Caenorhabditis elegans: one gene and its partners. The protein of the gene in region 3 purifies or fractionates together with the protein of the main gene of each other region. This does not show direct contact. Each region holds a gene or a part of one and is shown on either strand. Other genes may lie near its edges. The genes, in order: ran-4, zig-12, C36A4.4 and exc-4.

Region 1 (2,879 bases), on a different chromosome or scaffold from region 3:
TGAATAATGACTGTCAGAATAATGGCGTCTTTACAGTATTCTCCGAATGCTTCTGGATCGTTCAAATCGGCACCAGCATCCAAAACATGTCCTTTATCGTCAAGCTTTGCTTCTAAAATCATAATTTCAGATTAATACAAAAAATTAATGGGTAAGACAAACTTACTAGCTAAAGATTTCATGAAAAGAATAGCAAAGATCTGCACGAGCGCTGAGACAGCAAAAAATACATAATCGGTGGAAGAGCACTGGCTCAGAAACATACACGATGAATAGTAGATTGCCTAAAACAATTTTTAAAAAATCGTTGAAATGTGAAATTACAAATGTTTACCATGCTAATCGTGCTAGCCACACTATAAGTGGTGACAGTCTTCTGATTCTCCTCATAGATCTCTTTCTGCCCTTTTGTTGCTTGTTTCACCATCTGTATTTAATTTTTATATTTTTGAGGTCATTGCTGAAAAAGTCAAAGGTATTGTAAAGGTTGAAAAACCACTAATAATAACGAATTAAACAAAATTTTCTCGATATCTCGGAAAGAAAATGATAAAAACTTCATTCTTTAGTTTGAACCGATTTGCAAACTAGAAGTTTGAAATTGTGCGAAATAGTAAAACGACACGAAACTGTGTGGGGAAAGAAACCGATTTAGAAACATGGAAAAAGCCGGGTTGAAATAGATATTTAAGCAATTTGGTGAAAATTCAGTTCTTGAAAAATTGTTCAATACGGGGACACATTTTGATAGGAAAGTGGACGAATTGATATCTAATTGTTGTGCAAGTCAAGTCGGAAGATCTCGTTTCCGATGAAGTAGGAACCCTGATTGTTTGGACGGAGAATAAAGACTTGCGAGAAGGGATTGATTGGATCTTCGTCGGTCTGAATAATTTTTTTTCGGTTTTTTTGAAAACTACTTCTACTTACCTTGAGCTGACCAAGAACCATCACTTGAATTGATCCATCATACAGAGGCTGAGAGTCAATCACAGTGATCGCTCGTTGAATTTTTGTGAATCCGAGAGTCTAAAAGTGTTTCGTTATTGAACTCTCGTACTTTTGCACAAACCGTGAACTTTTGGAGAATTCCGTCACGGCCTTTCGCTTGCTGTCCTTCAAAAGTCATGTAAGAGTTTTCTGGGTCGTACAAATCGGAGAGTCCTGAAATTCACTAAGTTTATTGTTTTTTTCAGACGAAATACCTTGAGCACGACTCATTCCATCGCCAACATCGAACTTTGAGTAGTAATGTTGAATGAAGGCCTTTGCAACACTTTCGTAATCAGGATTGAAGCTCATTCCTTTAAAAACGACAAATTGGGAAAAATAATTGAAAAAGAGTAAAAATAAATAAGATAGGTAGGAAAAAGCAACGAAGAATACGATAATTTTCGAAACAATTGAATTATATATTTACTCGAGATGGGTTGTCTCAATAAATTTTGAAAATTAGTTGTTAGATGAGCAGTGGTCTTGCTCGCATTGAGAAAAATAAACAGCAACCAAATTGTTTTTTTTTAGTTTTTAAAGTTTAAACCCTCGGCCTCATGTTTCAGTTTTCGAAAGAACAGTATTGTCTTCCTGCGTTTTGTTCGTTCTTGGGAAGTTTAATTAAAAATAATTATGAATTATTTGATTCCTCACAAGAGAAAACCGATTAAAAAAAATAAAAATGCCTAAATAAATTGGAAAATCAGAATAAAATGGCAAGGTGCCAGCATCGCGCGCACATTTTGTAGCATAATCCAGCGGAGCGCGATTACTGCACAGAAAGCGAGAGAGTGTGTAAACGAGAGAGAACACGTTATGAGCAGAGAAATCGCCTTGTCGTCACTCTTTTTGTTGAAGAGGCGCAGAGAAAAAAGAGTTGGTTGGCTCTGTTTTTATGTCTCTTTGAGCTCGCCAAAATGGAAAACAGAGCTGGAAAAGCAACAAAATAACGACAAAACCACTGAAATTATGTTCCTCTTTTGTTGTTGCTCCATTTTTTATTTCTTTCCATTCTACCAATTGAATAAGAAGTTAAACTTTATTCTTACTCCGTAATGTTGGCATTTCAAAAATCAATTTTCTGTAATTTATAGAAACTTGAAATAATTTTCCATCTCTGCGCATCCTCATGCCTTAGCGAACACCATATATGTATGTTCTTTCACTCTTCCCTTTTCGGCACCTGACCAGTCTTTTGAAGCCAACGTTTTCTGAAAATAAAGAACCGTTACTATTATATTTTCACATCATCCAGAACTGAAATGATATCAATTTTCGAGAGCTCATTACATCAAACTCATCCAGTCACATTTATGGTTACCTTGGTAACAGTTCATTGACAAAATTAATGCAAGCAATTCCGAACTCATTACATACTGCTTCTCACATGATTATCAAAATTCTATGAGCGATACATATACTCAGTTAGTTTTCAAATGTAGATTTTTGTAATTGAAAGGAAAATAAGTAAGCCAAACATTTTAAAACTAAATTGTATACCATTTTGCTGACTGAATTTGAGCAAGCTTTAAAACTCCCAAATTTTTTTCTAAAAATGGAAGAAAATTTATGTGAACCTCTAACTATGTGTCGATTTACCCAGCTTGTGTAATAGTTCGAGAATCAAAATTTTTTTAAAGTTTTTGGTCTTGATTTTTGACAGTATTAATTACATCTTTCTCAAAAGGAAAATCCCATCCAAGATAAAACATTTTAGCCTGTAAAAGTTGTGAAATCGCCTTAGAAGAATATGTGAGCTTTTTTCAAAAATCTCAGTCACATTTTGGAAAACTGCCAGATTTTCTAAAGATTTTATTTTTAGTAATTCCGAGCATCTTGCAGGTTCATACAACGTTCAAATACAAATTATTGGAACGTAGTTCAAA
Region 2 (4,443 bases), on a different chromosome or scaffold from region 3:
TCTGTTTATTGGTTAATATGTAGTTCAAATATAATAACAACATCAGTTCTTCACAAAAATTGTCGGAAAAAGATTTTCAATCCAAGAAACCTGATTTTTGAACAAAGCCTCTAAACAGTGTCTAATGAGACACTAGTTTCAGCGCACACATTTTTTTAAATGGAGGTTTTAGGACAAAGTTGATATGTTCAAACAATGAAAAATTAAATAAACATTTTGTTACTTTCTCAAACCTTTCATTAAAAATATGTTTCTTGAGTTACAGTCGTTTTAGTAATCATCGTCAAAAACGGACTCACGAGATGCCCGCCGCTTTATTACTTGCCATGTGATGGATGAATAATTGCAACATGTAAAAATACATAGGCCTGATCACGAGCTACATTTTACCAGTTGAAAATTTTTTGGTACCTTTCCTAGTTTTGAAGTTATGCCCATTGGAAAAAATATCGAAATCGTCAAAAAACTGAAAGTGGATATCTTTTTGGCCAGCACTGTATATATATATATTGATTTCTGTACTTGCAAGTATATCTTCTCATGTTCAATGTGTCAAGAAACTTTTTTATTTTGGCTGATACCAATTCATGTGCATGGGACACAAAGTTCAAATTACTTTGAGAAGACAAATACTACAAAACGTTAAAAGTTACAGAAGAAAAAAAAGCGGAAAGTGCAACTACCAAAATCGAAAATCAGAAGCAACGATTAACATGAAAATTGATTTGAGGCTTTATGAATTGAATTGTATGACAATTAAAAACCAAGGGAAAATTTATAAAATTAATCGAAAACCAAGTTCAACGCTTGTTGGTTTTGTCCTTCGGAGTTCTTGACAACGCACTTGTATTTTGCTTCATCGTCTTTTTGTGGTCCGGTGATTTCGAGTAGGAATTGGAATCCGTCTTTGTCCTTATCGTCCTTCTTTACAACAGCCTTAACTCGGTCAGTGAATTTCACTGGTTTTTCATCCTGGAAGAATGAATTAGTGAAAAATATGAAATTTACTTTTTTTCTGTTAATTTAAAAATGATTTATACTAGACGGTCGTTCAGAAAATTTTTTCCAAAACAAGTTTGTTAATTTTATTTATCAAAGCATTCCAAAAAAACTCAAACTTGGTTCCAAGCATGCCCATTGAAATGTTCATTTTTCATTTTTCATTTTACATTTTGAACCAGACAACAAGTGAATTCTTTTAATGTTTATTGAACCTTTTTGCTTTTAGTTTTTTGCGCCATTTCTCTTTTTTGTTCACTACTCAAAACTTCGCTCTATCTGCTCCATGAGCCTCAAGTATCTGTCTCGGCACAACCCAAAGGCGCGGACGAGGAGGCCTCCCAACTTTTGTCTTATTTCCACACTTCTTTACATTACCCATCTCTGCCTTTCTATTTTGAATCCCCTTGAGAAAGCCGGAGAGGTTCACTTCGACTAACATAAATGTGGAAATTAGGACAACTACATTTTTTTCTTCGGTGGAAGAAAGAAGACAAAAGAAAAAAGACACGTCAGTCAGTCGATCCATCTTCGAGAAGCTCTATTCTGGTTCAACCAAAATGAATTTAGCAATGCCAAGAAAAATACCGAATAAGAATTCAGGGAAATTTTTTCCCCTAAGATTCAAAGTAAGGTGACAGACATACCTTGAACCATTCGGCCTTCATCTCAAGGTGGGACTTTGCGCGGACCTTAATCACAATCACATTTCCGTTATCTCTTTGAACAATATGTGGCTTGTCATGGAAGTCTGGGGCGTCTGAAATTGTATGTGTAAGCTTTTAGTGTTTTTGATAATGAGCTCACTTCCTGCTGCGACTGTGAAGTTAGAGCTGTTCTCTCCATCGGCGTTGGCAAAGACGGCTTTGTATTCTCCGGCAAGTGGTTTATCAAAGTCCTATAAAATGATGATTTAAAGAAGCAAAAAGGTGTTTTGTTAACAGTTAAAATTCATAATTCCGATTATTTTTTATCACAGGTAAAGCGGGATTGCTCAGAAGCGGCCCAATGGCAGCTGATAAAATCGTTTTTGTGTTCGGAGTTTTTTTTTAAGCTTAGAAAAACGAAATTTGCGACCGGGGCGGTCGACAATCGGCTTATTGGCTGACATGGAGACAGACCACCGGCGGACATCAGTTTTTTTTTTCAGTCTGCGGCATTTTGGACCGTTGGACAGTTTTTCAGTTGCTTTTCCGTTTTACCAGTAATGTAGCTTATGTGGTTTGTTTTTCAACTACTACTATCATTAGTAACTTTTACAATTATAGTTCCTAATGTGAAGTTCAAACTGCACGGCTTTTTTTAATGTTTACTGAATTTTCAAAATTACAGTTCACGTTATTGATGTATATTTAATGTGAGATACGAAAAAAATAAAGAATATAGTAAAGTAAAAAGTATTTTGTAATGATGAATGTACTTAGAGTTTCCTTTTGATCAAATGCTTAACCGTTGTTATGTTTTGCTTTTCACCTCCCGACCGACAGCTAATTCTGCTTTTGCCGCACTTTTGCCCAAAATCTACGGTAAGTCCATCAAAAACCAATTAAACGCAGATCAAAACACATACAGACAACAGTTGCAGAGCGCATCGCAGCAATGGGACCATAAAATGACTCGTGAGTCGTTTTATGTGATTTATACGAGATGCTTTGGCAAACAGTTGCTCTCAAACTGACCTTGATTTCGGCAACAAACTTGGTGCGGTTGCCTCCTTCGTCACTGTTTGAGAACTTCAGGAACTCGTTCTCCTCAAGCTCGTCTGGTCCGAAAAACCACTGAATCTTAGAAACATCAGCTCCAGTGACGATGACCTGGAAGAAAACTTAGCAATTTTCAAAAGGAAAAGCAAATTCGTACCTCAAGGAACACCGACCCGTTCTCTGATCTAATTTTTGGTTCTCCGTAAATTGATGGTGGTGCCATATCTGAAAAAATTAAAATCTGTAGTTTTATGATTGAATACGAAGCCATGAATATACGGAATCTCGGTAACCTAAAGTTTTACACACTAAAAGAAAAGAGGGGCGTGTTTTCTGATCAGGTAAGAGCGCCGCCAAGAGCGAATGAAAAATGATCTGCCAATGTGTTTTTACCATCATTTATCCATTGAGTTCACAGGAAAATAGGAGACGAAAGACTTCTTGAACGGTAGTTCGTAGTGGCTTTTGGGTGGGAGAACTAAGCAAACAATGTTTTATGTTCTCAATGAACAAGCACAAGTAGGGGAATGTTGGAGAAGATCTAGACAAGATGTGTCAACAGTATTTTGAGGGAAAACACTTTATAATGCTGAGAAAAAAAAGAAAAAGGCAAAAAGACCAATGGTTGAAGGTTGAAAAATGCTTCGAAAATTGAATCACTGGTTTTTTGTACATATAACAGTTGATTTTAGTCATGTTTTTTGTGCATTGAGATCAGCACTCAAGAATAAATTTAAAAAAAACAAATTTGAGAGGAGAACAAAAAATATGAAGAGGAGAAAAATGATGTCTCGCTTGTAGTTTCCAACTGACAAAAGTGCCAAGAGGTCGCTGTTAGAGTCCCATTTTCCCTTTATCTTTTTCTCTGTTTCACGAAGGTGTTGTAATTTCTACTTCTTCTGCTGCTAAGCTCTTTCTCCGCCTCCTGGTCGCTAGTCGGAGAACGAAACGACGAAAAAAGATGGGAAAGATGAATGTCCCGGGAGCCCCCCGGAGCTGCCCACAGATTTTGCGGAGGAGGAGAAAGGTGGATGGGATGGCACTTCCCACCTAACTCTTCATTTCTCGTCGACGTTGAAGATCCCAAAATTTTTACAAAGTTCTCAATGAAGAGCTGCAGGGCGAAGGCAAAGTTGACGAGACACGCTTCACAAAGGATATTTGAGAGTATTTTGAAATCGGAATCAATGAGCAATTTGGGAACGGATGGAAATGACGTCGCTGGTTGTTGTATGAGTATTAAGGATTTCAAAAGTTGTTAAATGAAAATGCCACTTTGAAACTGAGCAACTCGAAAGCAATGGATTTATAGACCTGTCACAATAGGACGATCATGATGTGCACATTTTTGCAAATCGCGGCGTGCGCATTGTGCATGGTTTCATTGATGATATCTGCATTGTACGTTCATAATGTCAATTCTTCGCGGTTCTTTATGACCACATTGCAATTCAACTATGTAGGTTTAGCATTGGGTCAAAGAACAATTTAGTTGATTGGCCTCATCTTACAATAAGCTGCATAATTTCCTATTTAGAAAGAAACCAGAGAATAAGCTACCAGACTTGGCCGAATAGAGCAATGTGGAAAACGATATAGGACACTTAAATGCCCCAGTCGCGTTAAAAATTAAAATATATTGCCTTTCTAGGTCTCAAAATGAGATGAATCCCAAAAATGGTAAAAACATAAGCTGACAATTTTTCAGTTAAAAACAAATTATTTTATAATAAACTTATAT
Region 3 (4,561 bases):
CATCGAGCTTTTGTGTACAGGCTCTCTCACTTTGATTTTATTAATTATTTATATTTAATTACTACTGAATAGTTTTTGAATATTCTTCTTCTATTCGAATCAGGAAACTTTTGGAAACCGGTGCTAAGTCCCTTTGATGCTCCCGAGTGGACTTTGAAGGAGAAATTCGAGATATTAGAGCGTGAGCTTAAATGGGAACAAAGGCGAAGAACGACAGAGAAGCCATCATCCAAAGTGGTTTCGGTGGATCTACAGAGTCTGGAGAATGTTCGGATAGCAGCTTCTACTGCGACATCTTCGACAGCCACGGTGGCTCAGATGCACAAGAAGAGGAAGATTGCCTTCGAATTGGATCCGGTGCTAACAAGTCCCGCGTGGCAGGCCTATTAGGTAAGTTTTTTTTTTTTAATTTTTGTTATTTGCTTGTTTAAATTATTGCTCTTTTCAGGAAATTAATGACTAAATACATCCTCCCAACAGAAGGCACATTTCCAAGGATAACTTTTTTTTTTAATAAATTGTCATTTTTAAATTTATAAAATTGTACCAACTCATTCTAACATTTTTAGTATTTACAAAATCTGTATTCGAACTCGTTTCAGTTTACGAAAATTTAAGAAATTTAAAACAAATGGATGTCAAGCAATAATATCGGCCTAATAACTACGGTTTTTGGGGAAAATACCGAAGGAAATTTGAAAGCATCACGGGGATTTTAACATAAATAAAACACAGTTGGCTGGGAAATGATAGGGGAATGAGTAGGGCAATCAGTATAAATATGAAACAAAAGAAGACTAGACAACAAAGAATTTGTTAATCGAATGATCGGATTCCAAGGCACTATCAGAAATTTCACGATGACGGAGTTCTTGAAGATTCTCTCCGTTGTAGGAGACAATTGTCTTCAAGTAGATCGGCTTTTCAGTTGCAGTCACTTTCGCTTGAACACGTTCCAGCCACAACTTGTTCACATCTGAAAATCAGTTTTTAAATCAATTTTAATTCTGAATTCACAGAAAAATCTACTCACTGGACAAATCTCTCTGACAAGTGCTCAAACAATCAGTTCCAACAGATTGAGCATTTTTCAATGGAGAAAACTCTTCGTTCCTCGCCACCTCCCAAATGAAAAATCGCTTCGAGAGCTCGAAGACGTCGAAAATAAACTGCTCCAGCTTGATACCATTTGGTTTTTCCGGTTTGACAATGGTTCCCTGCTCATTCACATAGGAAATCTTCTTGTGAGCACGATGATATGGAAGACGAGATGATGGAGAGCAGACTCTGTATTTATTTTAAAATTAAGCTTTTTCTCCAAATTTGAAATTACAAACCTATCCATGAAATCCATCGTGAAAAAGTGATTTGCAATAGATCCTGCACCAAACAAATATTTTCCATCCGGTGTCTTTTGTTCAGCCAACTCGGCTCCAAGCTCCGAATATTCAACGACACGTGGTAGTCCTCTATCAAGACAAACTGATCCGACGAGTTCTCCTTTTTGCTTCGGAACACACTTGGTTGCAACGTCAGCTTCGTTTGAAATGGCGAATCCGATGAAATGAGGGTCGGCAACTTTGCACAGAATGTTGTCCACACAATACACATGGAAATATTTGATTCCTTTCGCGCGAAGACGTGGCAAATGAGCAGAGATGGCAGAGTAGAGACCTCCGTTGCCGTCTGAAAAAAAATATGATTTTTCGGTTTTTTGTGAGAAAATCGATAATTTTCTTTTTTTGAAATCCAGAAAAAAGTCTAGATTTTATGTTCTAAAAAAAGTTGAGTTTGATGAGAACACATTATCTTTAAAATATTGAAAATTCGATTTTTTTTTCGTTGAAAAACTCATTTTTTAAAATTTTTGTGTCGATTTACGCAGCTGGTGTACTCCCCGAGAAAGAATAATTATTTTTTTGTACGAAATTTTTAAGTATTCGGATAAAATACTTAATTTTAGATATTTTTTAAATTCAAATCGTCAACTAATTTATATTTTTAGTGTGTTTTGGGTGAAAATCCATGCAATTAATACTGCTTTCAATATTGACACCGAAAATACTTTAAATGTCATATAATTTTTCGTTTTGAAGATTAAAAAATAATCAAAAAGTCAGAATTATAGCTGAAAAATTCGTAAAAACAGTTTTCCTCGAGGAGTACACGAATTGCGTAAAAACTCATACTTGGAGCAGCAACAACAGATCCTTTAGTTCCGAGAAGGAAGTTTCCCTGCTCATCGTATGCAGCAATTTCATCTTGTGAGAAAATAGTAATTTGTTCATCGAAATCGAATCCATGATGAGCCGCCAGTTTCTTCACATGCTCACGAGTAGCCTCCTCTGTTCCAGGTGACGTCATAACTGCCCAGTGAATTTTTCCCGGATTCTGATGCTCCCGTTCTCCAGCGAGAGCCTGAAGAAGTGCAATTTTGGCAGCTTGAATTCCCAAAAGAGAATCTCCAAATGAAGCGTTAATTCCCAATGGAATCGTTCCTTTCGGTTGACTTGATCCAAGACGTGTAGCTTGTCCACCGGCGAGCACAATTGCACATACTTCTCCACGTCCAATAGCATCCATTCCCTTGTTCCAGAGACCATCGAGGATCTGAAAATAATGTAATTTTAATGATGGTTTTACCTAAATATTAAAAGTCTCTACCACTTGATGCAATTCAGCTTGTACAAAATGCTGAGAATCAAGAACCGGCTTAAGGTCTTCCGCAGTTGATGGAGCCCGTTGATCCGCTGAATCAATGAACCATTGATGAGCTTCCGAAAGGTTTAGAGTTGAAATTTGGTGGAAAAGCTTCGATTTTTCGGCATCCGAGAGCTCATTGTAAAAGTTGAGAAGTGGCTCAGAGCCCGGAAACTTTGAGATAATCTCGTCTTTTGGTGGAGCAGTGATGGTCATCGTACTGAAAATAATGATCAAAATTAAATAAACGATTCTCCGGTGGAAAACAATTCAAAAAGTGATAATACACGGCGCAAAGATAAGAAAATAATTATTCATAACGCTGTGTGTGGCAGCTTCTCTCTAATTACAGAAATGTTCATTTGGAAAATAGATAGACACAAAAAACTGCACTTATTTAACACGTTTCCTACTTTAAAACTCTAAAAACAAGGAGATGGAAAACAAGAAACACGACAAAATATTGATTGTTGGCTTAACGTTTTTAGAATGCAATAAAAACAGAGAATCTCTTGTTTCGCCGAAGAAAATGCGGAGAAATCCAATCTAAATGGAAAAAAAAAGTTTTTATTAAGAAAAATTCACTGAAAATGAAAAAAAATCTGCAAATTCTTCAAGAAAATGATGAAAAGATCACAAAACATATAAAAAAACATCTGAACATGGCGCCGCTGCCGCCATAAAAACTTAAAAGTACGCGAACACAGTGACGGAAAAATGCACAGAGTTCAATTCTCCCAATATATATATACCAGTGGATTTAAAAAGATTTTGAGTTTTTCGAGCACCGCAAGACTCAAACTTAATCTAAAAAATAACCAAAAAGACTAGCTTCCAATAGAAATGACGTATTGATTCAGCGACATTGAAAAAGTTGAAAATGAAAAAAATCCACCCATCGCAGGCGCTCTGCACTTCTACTGGTAGATCAAACAAAGAGGAGACTGATATCACTAGTGATCTTGATCCACGGCGGCAGCGGTCGTATTCTGATTTCCCTGCATTCTCTGCGTCTCTCACCGCGCTATATAAGGCGGCGAGAGAGCTCATTCGTGTTTTTCTGTCTCGTTTTTGTTTATTTGTTTATTTGTTTATTCTCGCGCGTTTTTCTTTAAAAAAGGTATTTAAAAAGATCACTGAAAAAACGTGCGAGGCTTGCGAAATGAGCGTGCGGTGGTTGCGAATTGGCACCGCCCACTGAAACCTTTTTTTTGTAAATCCTAAAAAATCTGCAATTTTGTCAGCAGCCAAGAAGCTTTTGCATTTTCCCTATAATTTTGTCGTTTATTTCACATTTTTGATTAGTTTTTGAACATTTTTAGTCGCTAATATGGTTGAAAAATGAACTTAAGTCTACAGAAAAGCGCGAAAAACTCCGAAATTAGGGTTTTTGTAATTATTTTGGCATAAAATTCGCCATAATTCAATCTTTCAGCGTTCTCTTTCATTTTCTACGTATACGTGCTTAAAACTGTTGAAAATTACTCCTTCTTTCCAGATGCCGGAAGAATACATCATGTCGTCGAAGGCATGCGTCTACGTCTTGGGCGGTGCGGCCAACACAGCCACCTTGTTTGATTTTGACGGCGTCTACATTCTCGATGGGGGATTCGCCGAAAAAAGCCCAGGATTCGTGGCTCACGTCAGGGACGTCTCTGCCGTGCTGCTCGCCGCGCCGACGCTTGGTAACCTCGGAACCACGTCTGCTCTGTTGGAACAGGTTTGTAGAAACTTTAATGAAAATTTTGATAATCTACTTTTTTCAGGGAAAACCGTTGCCGGTGTTCACCAACACGAAGCCGTTCAAGACTGCCAAGCCGGGAAGCAGTGGAGAGATTGCCAAAGCAATTCAAGAAGCGAA
Region 4 (7,861 bases), on a different chromosome or scaffold from region 3:
CTGACTTTCTGGACGATTTCATAATTTTTTTTCGATTTTTTTGGCATTTTTTATCAGAAAAATGTGTACTTAAGCCGTAAATCGACATAATTTTTAAAAGAGCCATTTTGGCATGTTGTTTCATTAAAATCTAATCACGAAATATAGAAATCGCAGAATCTAACCGAAAAACTTAATTTTACTTTAAAAAATTTTGCGAAGCAATTTAAATCTTTTACACGTGGTGTCAGACTGTCTCATTGCGGTTTGATCTATGAAAAATGCGGGAATATTTTTCCAGAAAATTGTGACGTCAGCACGCACTTAACCATGCGAAATCAGATTAGATGTCTGCGTCTCTTCTCCCGCATTTTTCGAAGATCAAAGCAAAATGAGACTTTCTGTGACTCCACGTGATTCTAATATTCTTTACCAAAAATATTTGTCACGGAATATAGAAAATGAGGTTTTCTAATTCAATATAGCTTTAATTCCAATTGAAAGGCTTTAGGAGGACATCTTGTCTGAAAATCGGGAGATTTCCCGCAATTTGCAACTTTCAGCTAGTTTTTTGCACACTTTAGAACTAAAATACCTCGTACCTTGTATTTTAGTTCAAAGTGTTCAAATCTCGTCTAAAAGTTGCGAATTACTGAAAAACCCCCCATTCCATTGCAATTACAATTACAATTTTTGTTACTAAAACCTTAAACCTGAAATTAAAATATATTTTTAGTAAGAAATATTGAAAGTAAATTCCACAATGGCTCATTTTTTATTACGGGAACAAGAAATTCTGAGAATGCGTACATCGCAACATATTTGACGCGCAAAATATCTCGTAGCGAAAACTACAGTAATTCTTAAAATGACTACTGTAGCGCTTGTGTCGATTTACGGAAATCGTTTATTAATTGATAGCGTATTAAAAGCACACTTTAAAAATAACACAGTAAAAAAAGCTACAGAAAATTGAATATCATTGTCTCGAAAGTCAGTCCCGTAAATCCACACACACAGAGCTACAGTAGTCATTTGAAGGGTTACTGTAGGTTTCGCTACGAGATATTTTGCGCGTCAAATATGTTGCGATGTACGCATTCTCAGAATTTTCTGTTCTCGTAATAGAATTTCCCCTGGAAACTAAAGTTTTCAAGCTATCTCGAACTTGCTTTGTATAATATTTTCTAGTAACAAAACAAAAAATTTCTTCAATTTCATTGAGAAATTCCCAGAAACAAATTTCCAGAAACATGCTAAAATCTGATGCTGAAATCCAAAAAAAGGTGTGGAAAACTCCCAAAACTAGCTATTAAATCTAAATTTTGAACATTCATTGGAAAATTAACAAATATTCGTAAAAAACGGATGTTGTTACCTAAAATTTCCAGTATTTACACCAATTGTCGTAAATATTTTCTCACTAAATTTAAAAATTCTCCATTTATTCGATATATATATATATCATTTACTATATATAAAGCGCTTATTCTGTGTGTCCATAGTTTGTAGTCTATGTGGTCTTTGTAGTCTGTGAAGTTTTGGCTTCTGGAGGGATAGTGAGTTAGGGTTAGTGTAGGGATATAGTCGGGGTACTGTAGTGGTACAATAGTGGTACGGTAGGAATACTGTAGGGTTACGGTAGTTTCATAAAAAATTAATTTTCAGCCCCAGAAGTCGGGGGCCGCGCCGAAGGTGCGGTCCACGGCTGGTATATATATATATATATACCAGCCGTGGTATATATATATATATATATTTAAAATATACACTAATTTTCTTCTGTTTCTTCCGGATTTATTGTGTTATCTCACCAAATTTTCCTCTCCAACAACCACCGCTAATTCCAGATATGGCAGAAGCTTACCAGATCCAATCAAACGGAGATCCCCAATCAAAACCTCTTCTCGAGCTCTACGTAAAAGCGTCAGGAATTGATGCTCGCCGCATTGGAGCCGATCTTTTCTGTCAGGAATTCTGGATGGAGTTGTATGCTCTTTATGAGATTGGAGTTGCACGAGTCGAAGTGAAGACTGTCAACGTGAATTCTGAAGCATTTAAGAAGAACTTTCTCGGAGCACAACCACCGATTATGATTGAAGAGGAAAAAGAGCTGACATACACTGATAATCGAGAGATTGAAGGACGGATCTTTCATTTGGCAAAGGAATTCAATGTTCCACTCTTTGAAAAGGATCCATCCGCTGAGAAGAGAATAGAGAACTTGTACAGGGTGAGTGTATGGAAGAAGAAGAAGCCCGGAAACTGTCGATTTACGCGGATCGTGTACTCCTCGTGGAAAAGATTCTGTAGTTTTCAGGGTTGTGGGGCACTTTTTTTTCACTTTTTCGTCAAAAAAATGAATTTTTAGTCTAAAATTGATATAGAAATATAGAAAACGGGTTGTTCTATTTGAAAATAACATTTACTTTTGTTGAAAATCTTGAAAAAGACCTCAAATAGTGCCTGAAAGTTGCCGTTTGCCGGAAAAGTGCCGTTAAAAGTTTTTAGATTAAAAAAACTGGGTTCTTTCAAAATGAAAATCCCTTTAATCACATACACATGAAAATAACATTAATTTTTGTTCCGTTTGCCGGAAAAAGTGCCGATTAAAGGTGATTTTCATTTTGAAACAACCCAGTTTTTTTAATCTAAAAACTTTTAACGGCACTTTTCCGGCAAACGGCAACTTTCAGGCACTATTTGAGGTCTTTTTCAAGATTTTCAACAAAAGTAAATGTTATTTTCAAATAGAACAACCCGTTTTCTATATTTCTATATCAATTTTAGATTAAGAACGAATTTTATTTTCCACGAGGAGTACACGATCCGCGTAAATCGAACGCCTAATGTGTTGATTTACGCGGATCGTGTATTCCTCGTGGAAAAGATTATCCAGTTTTCAGGGCTGTGCGGCACTTTTTCGGCAAAAAAATAAATTTTTAATCTAAAATTGATATAGAAATGTAGAAAACGGGTTGTTCTATTTGAAAATAACATTTATCTTTGTTGAAAATCTTGAAAAGCCGAAAAAGTGCCGTTAAAAGGTTTTGATGACTTTTTCAAGATTTTCAACAAAAATATATGTTATTTTCAACTAGAACAACCCATTTTCTACATTTCTATAAAAATTTAAATCAAAAAATGGATTTTTTGCGAAAAAATGCCTTGTACTCCACGAGGAGAACATTTTGCAGTTTTTGCTGATTTATAGTGTTTTCAGTGAAACAAAAATACATCATTTCCCCGGGAAAATTGAAAATTTTTGTTAGAAAAAGCGAAAAATACAAGTTTTTAACGAAAACTCTGAAAATTTCCGCGAAAAATATTTAATTCATCAATTTTCAACAGGGTTTCCCCACGAAAATCGTCAATTTTCGTAAAATTCTCGATTTTCTTTTGAAAATACCGAATTTTTACCGAAAAATAATCACTTTTCCGCCAAAAACTGCATTTTTTCAGAAATTTCTGGTTTTCTCACTGAAATGCAACATTTTGTCATTAAGTTATCGATTTTCTGATTAAAAATACCAAATTTCATAGAAAATATGAAAACTGCAATAAATTGATTTAAAATATTGATTTTCAGCAAAATCCGTAAAATCTTCTCCTCGGGGAGTACACGAGGCTTCACACAGCTTGATATCTCAAAAATGTCCTTTTTTCGATGAAAAAATTTAGAAATTGGTCCAATTTTGTCTTAACAGTATGGAAAATTCTGTTTTTTCCTAAAAAAAAAAAAGAAACATTTCCCAATTTTTCCGGAAAAACTTCAAAAAAAATCCAATTTTCCCGGAAAAACTTCAAAAAAAATTAATTTTTCCGGAAAAACTTCAAATAATTCCAATTTTTCTGGTAAAACTTCGAAAAAATCCATTTTTCACGACGCGCGTAAATCGACAAAGTTAAATTTGACGTTTTCCCCCGTCTAATTTCCTCTCATTTTTCAGAACTTCAAACTGTTCCTGCGAGCAAAAGTAGAGTTCGATAAGGGAAAAAAGGAGCCATCGAGAGTTGAAGATCTTCCAGCACAGATTAAAGTTCACTACAATCGAGTCTGTGAGCAACTATCCAATATTGATCAGGTAAAATACACACAGAAATCTGCGAAATTGCCCATTTGCCGAAAATTTTAATTTTCGGCAAATTTTCCGGCAAATCGGCACTTTGCCGGAATTGAAAATGTCCGGCAAGTTTCCGATTGCCGGGAAATGTTAAGTTTCTGCAAATTGCCATTTTGCCGGGAAATTTTAAGTTTAGGAAAGCTACCTATTTGCCGAGAATGAAAATTTCCGGCAAATCGGCAAAACGGAAATTTTGAATTCCGGCAAATTGTCATTTTGCCGTAAATTTCAATTTTCGGTGAGGTACCTATTTTCTGGAAATTTTAATTTTCGGCAAATAGGTACTTTGCCGAAAATAAAAAATTACGGTAAATCGGCAAAACAAAAAATTTCAATTCCGGCAAAGTGCCAATTTGCCGGAAATTTTCAATTCTGGTAAATTGCCGAAAATGATCAATTCCGGCAAATTACTGATTTACCGGAAATTTCAATTCTGGCAAATTGCCGAAAATTTAGTATTCCGGCAAAGTGCCAATTTGCCGGAAATTTTCAATTCCGGCAAACTGCCGATTTGCCGTAAATTTTAATTTTGGGTAAGTACCTATTTTCTGGAAATTTTAATTTACGGGAAAATGGCAATTTTCCGGCAAATCGACACTTTGACGATACAGAAAATTTCCAACAAATCGGCAAAACGGAAAATCTCAATTCTGGCAAACTGCCGAAAATTTATTATTCCGGCAAATTGCCAACCTATCGGAAATTTTAAAATCCGGCAAACTGCCGATTTGCTTGCCGGATATCAATTTGCCGGAATTTTATAAAAAGATTTTTGATAATACTGAAACACTTCATAGGATGCGTTTTCCGTTTGAAATTGAAATTCATAAAAAGTTTCAGAAAAATATATGCGCAATTGCCGGTTTGCCAAAGTTGCCGGAAATTTCTAGCAAACCGGTAATTGCACATTTTCCCCAATTTTCCGGCAAAATCCCGATTTGCTGGAAATTTCTATTCTGGCATTTTGCCAAAAATTTAGTATTCCGGCAAATTGCCGATTTGCCGGAAATTTCAATTCCGACAAATTTTCCATTTTGCCGTAAATTTTAATTTTAGGCAATGCAAATTTCCGATGATTCGCCGGTAAAGTACCTATTTTCTGAGAATTTCAATTCTGGAAGTTTGCCAAATTTGCCGGAAATTTGGCAAACCGGCACTTTGCCCAATTTCCCAATTTCCCCAATTTTTTGTGATAAATATTGTTTATCGCATCTTGTCAACATAATTCCATCAAAAATTGCCCCCATTTTATTGCAGTTGCTATCCGAGAGAAAATCTCGATATCTACTTGGAAACAGTATGACTGAATATGACTGTGAACTGATGCCACGTCTTCATCATATTCGAATTATTGGATTGTCACTTCTTGGATTCGATATTCCACATAATTTCACTCATCTCTGGGCTTATATCCTCACTGCATACCGTACAGCAGCATTTATTGAGAGTTGTCCCGCCGATCAGGACATTATTCATCACTATAAAGTGAGGATGAAGCTGCAAACTACAGATTTGTTAGCCGGAATCAGGGGTGCCGAGGAACAATGTTTTTTGTTGAAAAAACCAACCAAAAAAAAATTCGAATTAGCCATGAAACATACAATTTTTATTCTAATTTTGTCTATATTTTAATAAGAAAAAACATACGAATTATTATTCTGAAAAAGAAAAAATGGCCAAAAGGTTTTAGTTCAGAAGATTTCGGAAAAATTCAATTTATTTAAATAATATATCTCCAGTTTGATTTATATGAAAAATGACAAAAATTGTGGCTTTGGGGAATAATTTCGACTTTTTCATTGAAAATCTTTTTTAAAAAAACGAGAAAACTATTGATTTCTCAAAAAATATGCTAATTTTTATGTGAAAGTGTAGAAAAAGTCTTTAGAAATAGCAAAAAGACCAGAAAAGGATGTTTTTTTTTTTTTGCTTGCAACAATTCAAAATTTTCGATTTTCTCTTGAAAAAAATCCAAATTTCGGCCGATCAGGACATTATTCATGACTATAAAGTGAGGATGAAGCTACAAACTACGAAGACTCGACACTACAAACTACAGATTTGTTAGCCAGAATCAGGGGTGCCGAGGAACAATTTTTTTTTGTTTAAAAAAACCAACAAAACATGCAGAATTCAATATTTTTATTACAGCTCACGCCTTATTTCATAGAAACAACAGAAATTGCACTTTTTGAGCAAATTTGACCCCAGTGTTGGGTTTTTTGAGAGAAAACCGAGACAGGCGCGACTAAAAATGCACCATTTTTGAGGTTTTAAACGCCAAATTTATATGAAAAATGACAAAAATTGTGTAAACTAGTACTTTTTCACGCTTTGGAGAAATAGTGCACTTGAATTTTCGATTTTTTCATTGAAAATCTAAAAAAAAATCGAAAAAAAAATTTTTCCCGATTTTTCCCGGAAATTCTTCCATTTTTCGAACAAAATTTGGAACATTTCTGATTATTTCAATATTTTTAGCGAAAATCTGGAAATTGTTAGTGTTTCCACTTTCGATTTTGACCAAAAAAAAAACCAAATTTCGGCTTAAAAATTGCTAGGATCGTCAATTTTGCTTATTTATTTAGCCTGAAACGAGTTTAAAAAAATAGCACGATTTAAGGAATTTTCGAGGAAAATAGTACTTCTCACGATCTCCTCAAAGCCGATTAATTATTAGAGCGCGCTTGCAGCGCCTCGCGTTTCTGCATCCGGGGTATTTTGCCTTTCCACTGAAAAAAGCAGCTTTTTTTTCAGATTTATCGAATTTTTAGCTTTTAAAAATTTTTTCCTGCATTTTTCGAACAAACCGTTTTGTTTAACAGTGAAAATCGAATTTAGAATGACTAAAATGAACTTTTTTCGTCCACTGGTTGTGAAATGGTTTGAATTTGAAGAAATCAGCGGGATTTTTCTTATTTTCTAAATATTTTTCTATTAAAAATTGGATTCAACATTTGTGACTTAACGTTAGGGTCAAAAAATGGTTTGCAACCGATTTTTAATAGGAAAATATTCAGAAAATACGAAAAATCCCGCTGATTTCTTCAAATTCAAACCATTTCTCAACCCGTGGACGAGAAAAGTTCCTTTTAGTCATTTTAAATTCGATTTTTACTGTTTAACAAAACGGTTTGTTCGAAAAATGCAGGAAAAAATTTTTAAAAGCTAAAAATTCGATAAATCTGAAAAAAAAACTGATTTTTTCAGTGGAAAGACAAAATACCCCGGATGCAGAAACGCGAGGCGCTGCAAGCGCGCTCTAATAATTAATCGGCTTTGAGGAGATCGTGAGAAGTACTATTTTCCTCGAAAATTCCTTAAATTGTGCTATTTTTTTTAACTCGTTTCAGGCTAAATAAATAAGCAAAATTGACGATTCTAGCAATTTTTAAGCCGAAATTTGGTATTTTTTAAAGAGAAAATCGAAAAATTTTAATTTTCCTGGTCTGCAAGCGCGCTCTAATAATTATTCGGCTTTGAGGAGAGCGCTTGCTTCTATGATAATTAATTTTTTTGAAAAATGTTTGGTGTAAATTTTTCAATTTTACAGCGAAATCAACAAAAGTTTGGTGCGGCTAACAAAACTCTAGTTTGTAGTCGTTTCCCAATTTATGTGATTTTTAAACCCCAAAATTCTCTGAATTTGCAGGAACAAATGAATCTGTTCACAAATCAACGTGAAACCCTCCAATCGCCAACAAAAACGCACACAATTCCGGAAAAAGTGCTATCGGATATTCGTGTTAAAGGACTTG

What was found.
Region 1: the proteins of C36A4.4 (region 3) and ran-4 fractionate together in Caenorhabditis elegans (co-fractionation; one large-scale study listed by BioGRID). This does not show direct contact.
Region 2: the proteins of C36A4.4 (region 3) and zig-12 fractionate together in Caenorhabditis elegans (co-fractionation; one large-scale study listed by BioGRID). This does not show direct contact.
Region 4: the proteins of C36A4.4 (region 3) and exc-4 fractionate together in Caenorhabditis elegans (co-fractionation; one large-scale study listed by BioGRID). This does not show direct contact.

The regions. Positions count from the first base shown.
Region 1 is NC_003279.8:8,589,640-8,592,518, reverse strand, and holds ran-4 (putative nuclear transport factor 2), read right to left. Parts: upstream 1,305-2,879; 5' UTR 1,303-1,304; coding exon 1,206-1,302; intron 1,165-1,205; coding exon 1,073-1,164; intron 1,030-1,072; coding exon 931-1,029; intron 886-930; coding exon 772-885; 3' UTR 541-771; downstream 1-540. Other genes in the region: tmem-208 (Transmembrane protein 208), read right to left, coding at 1-112, 167-284, 335-427. UniProt on the Caenorhabditis elegans protein: Facilitates protein transport into the nucleus. Could be part of a multicomponent system of cytosolic factors that assemble at the pore complex during nuclear import.
Region 2 is NC_003284.9:8,762,391-8,766,833, reverse strand, and holds zig-12 (Ig-like domain-containing protein), read right to left. Parts: upstream 2,928-4,443; 5' UTR 2,926-2,927; coding exon 2,860-2,925; intron 2,814-2,859; coding exon 2,679-2,813; intron 1,898-2,678; coding exon 1,807-1,897; intron 1,760-1,806; coding exon 1,647-1,759; intron 1,502-1,646; exon of another isoform or gene 1,356-1,501; intron 973-1,355; coding exon 784-972; 3' UTR 554-783; downstream 1-553.
Region 3 is NC_003281.10:3,840,695-3,845,255, forward strand, and holds C36A4.4 (putative UDP-N-acetylglucosamine pyrophosphorylase), read right to left. Parts: upstream 2,921-4,561; 5' UTR 2,917-2,920; coding exon 2,665-2,916; intron 2,611-2,664; coding exon 2,190-2,610; intron 1,687-2,189; coding exon 1,338-1,686; intron 1,288-1,337; coding exon 1,034-1,287; intron 977-1,033; coding exon 798-976; 3' UTR 552-797; downstream 1-551. Other genes in the region: C36A4.11 (uncharacterized protein), read left to right, coding at 192-390, 449-456; maph-1.3 (Microtubule-associated protein futsch), read left to right, coding at 4,199-4,420, 4,467-4,561.
Region 4 is NC_003279.8:14,512,686-14,520,546, reverse strand, and holds the start of exc-4 (Chloride intracellular channel exc-4), read left to right. Parts: upstream 1-1,827; 5' UTR 1,828-1,831; coding exon 1,832-2,212; intron 2,213-3,929; coding exon 3,930-4,064; intron 4,065-5,360; coding exon 5,361-5,588; intron 5,589-7,755; coding exon 7,756-7,861. UniProt on the Caenorhabditis elegans protein: May insert into membranes and form chloride ion channels. Involved in the formation of the excretory canal. Required to prevent cystic lumenal expansions in the excretory cell.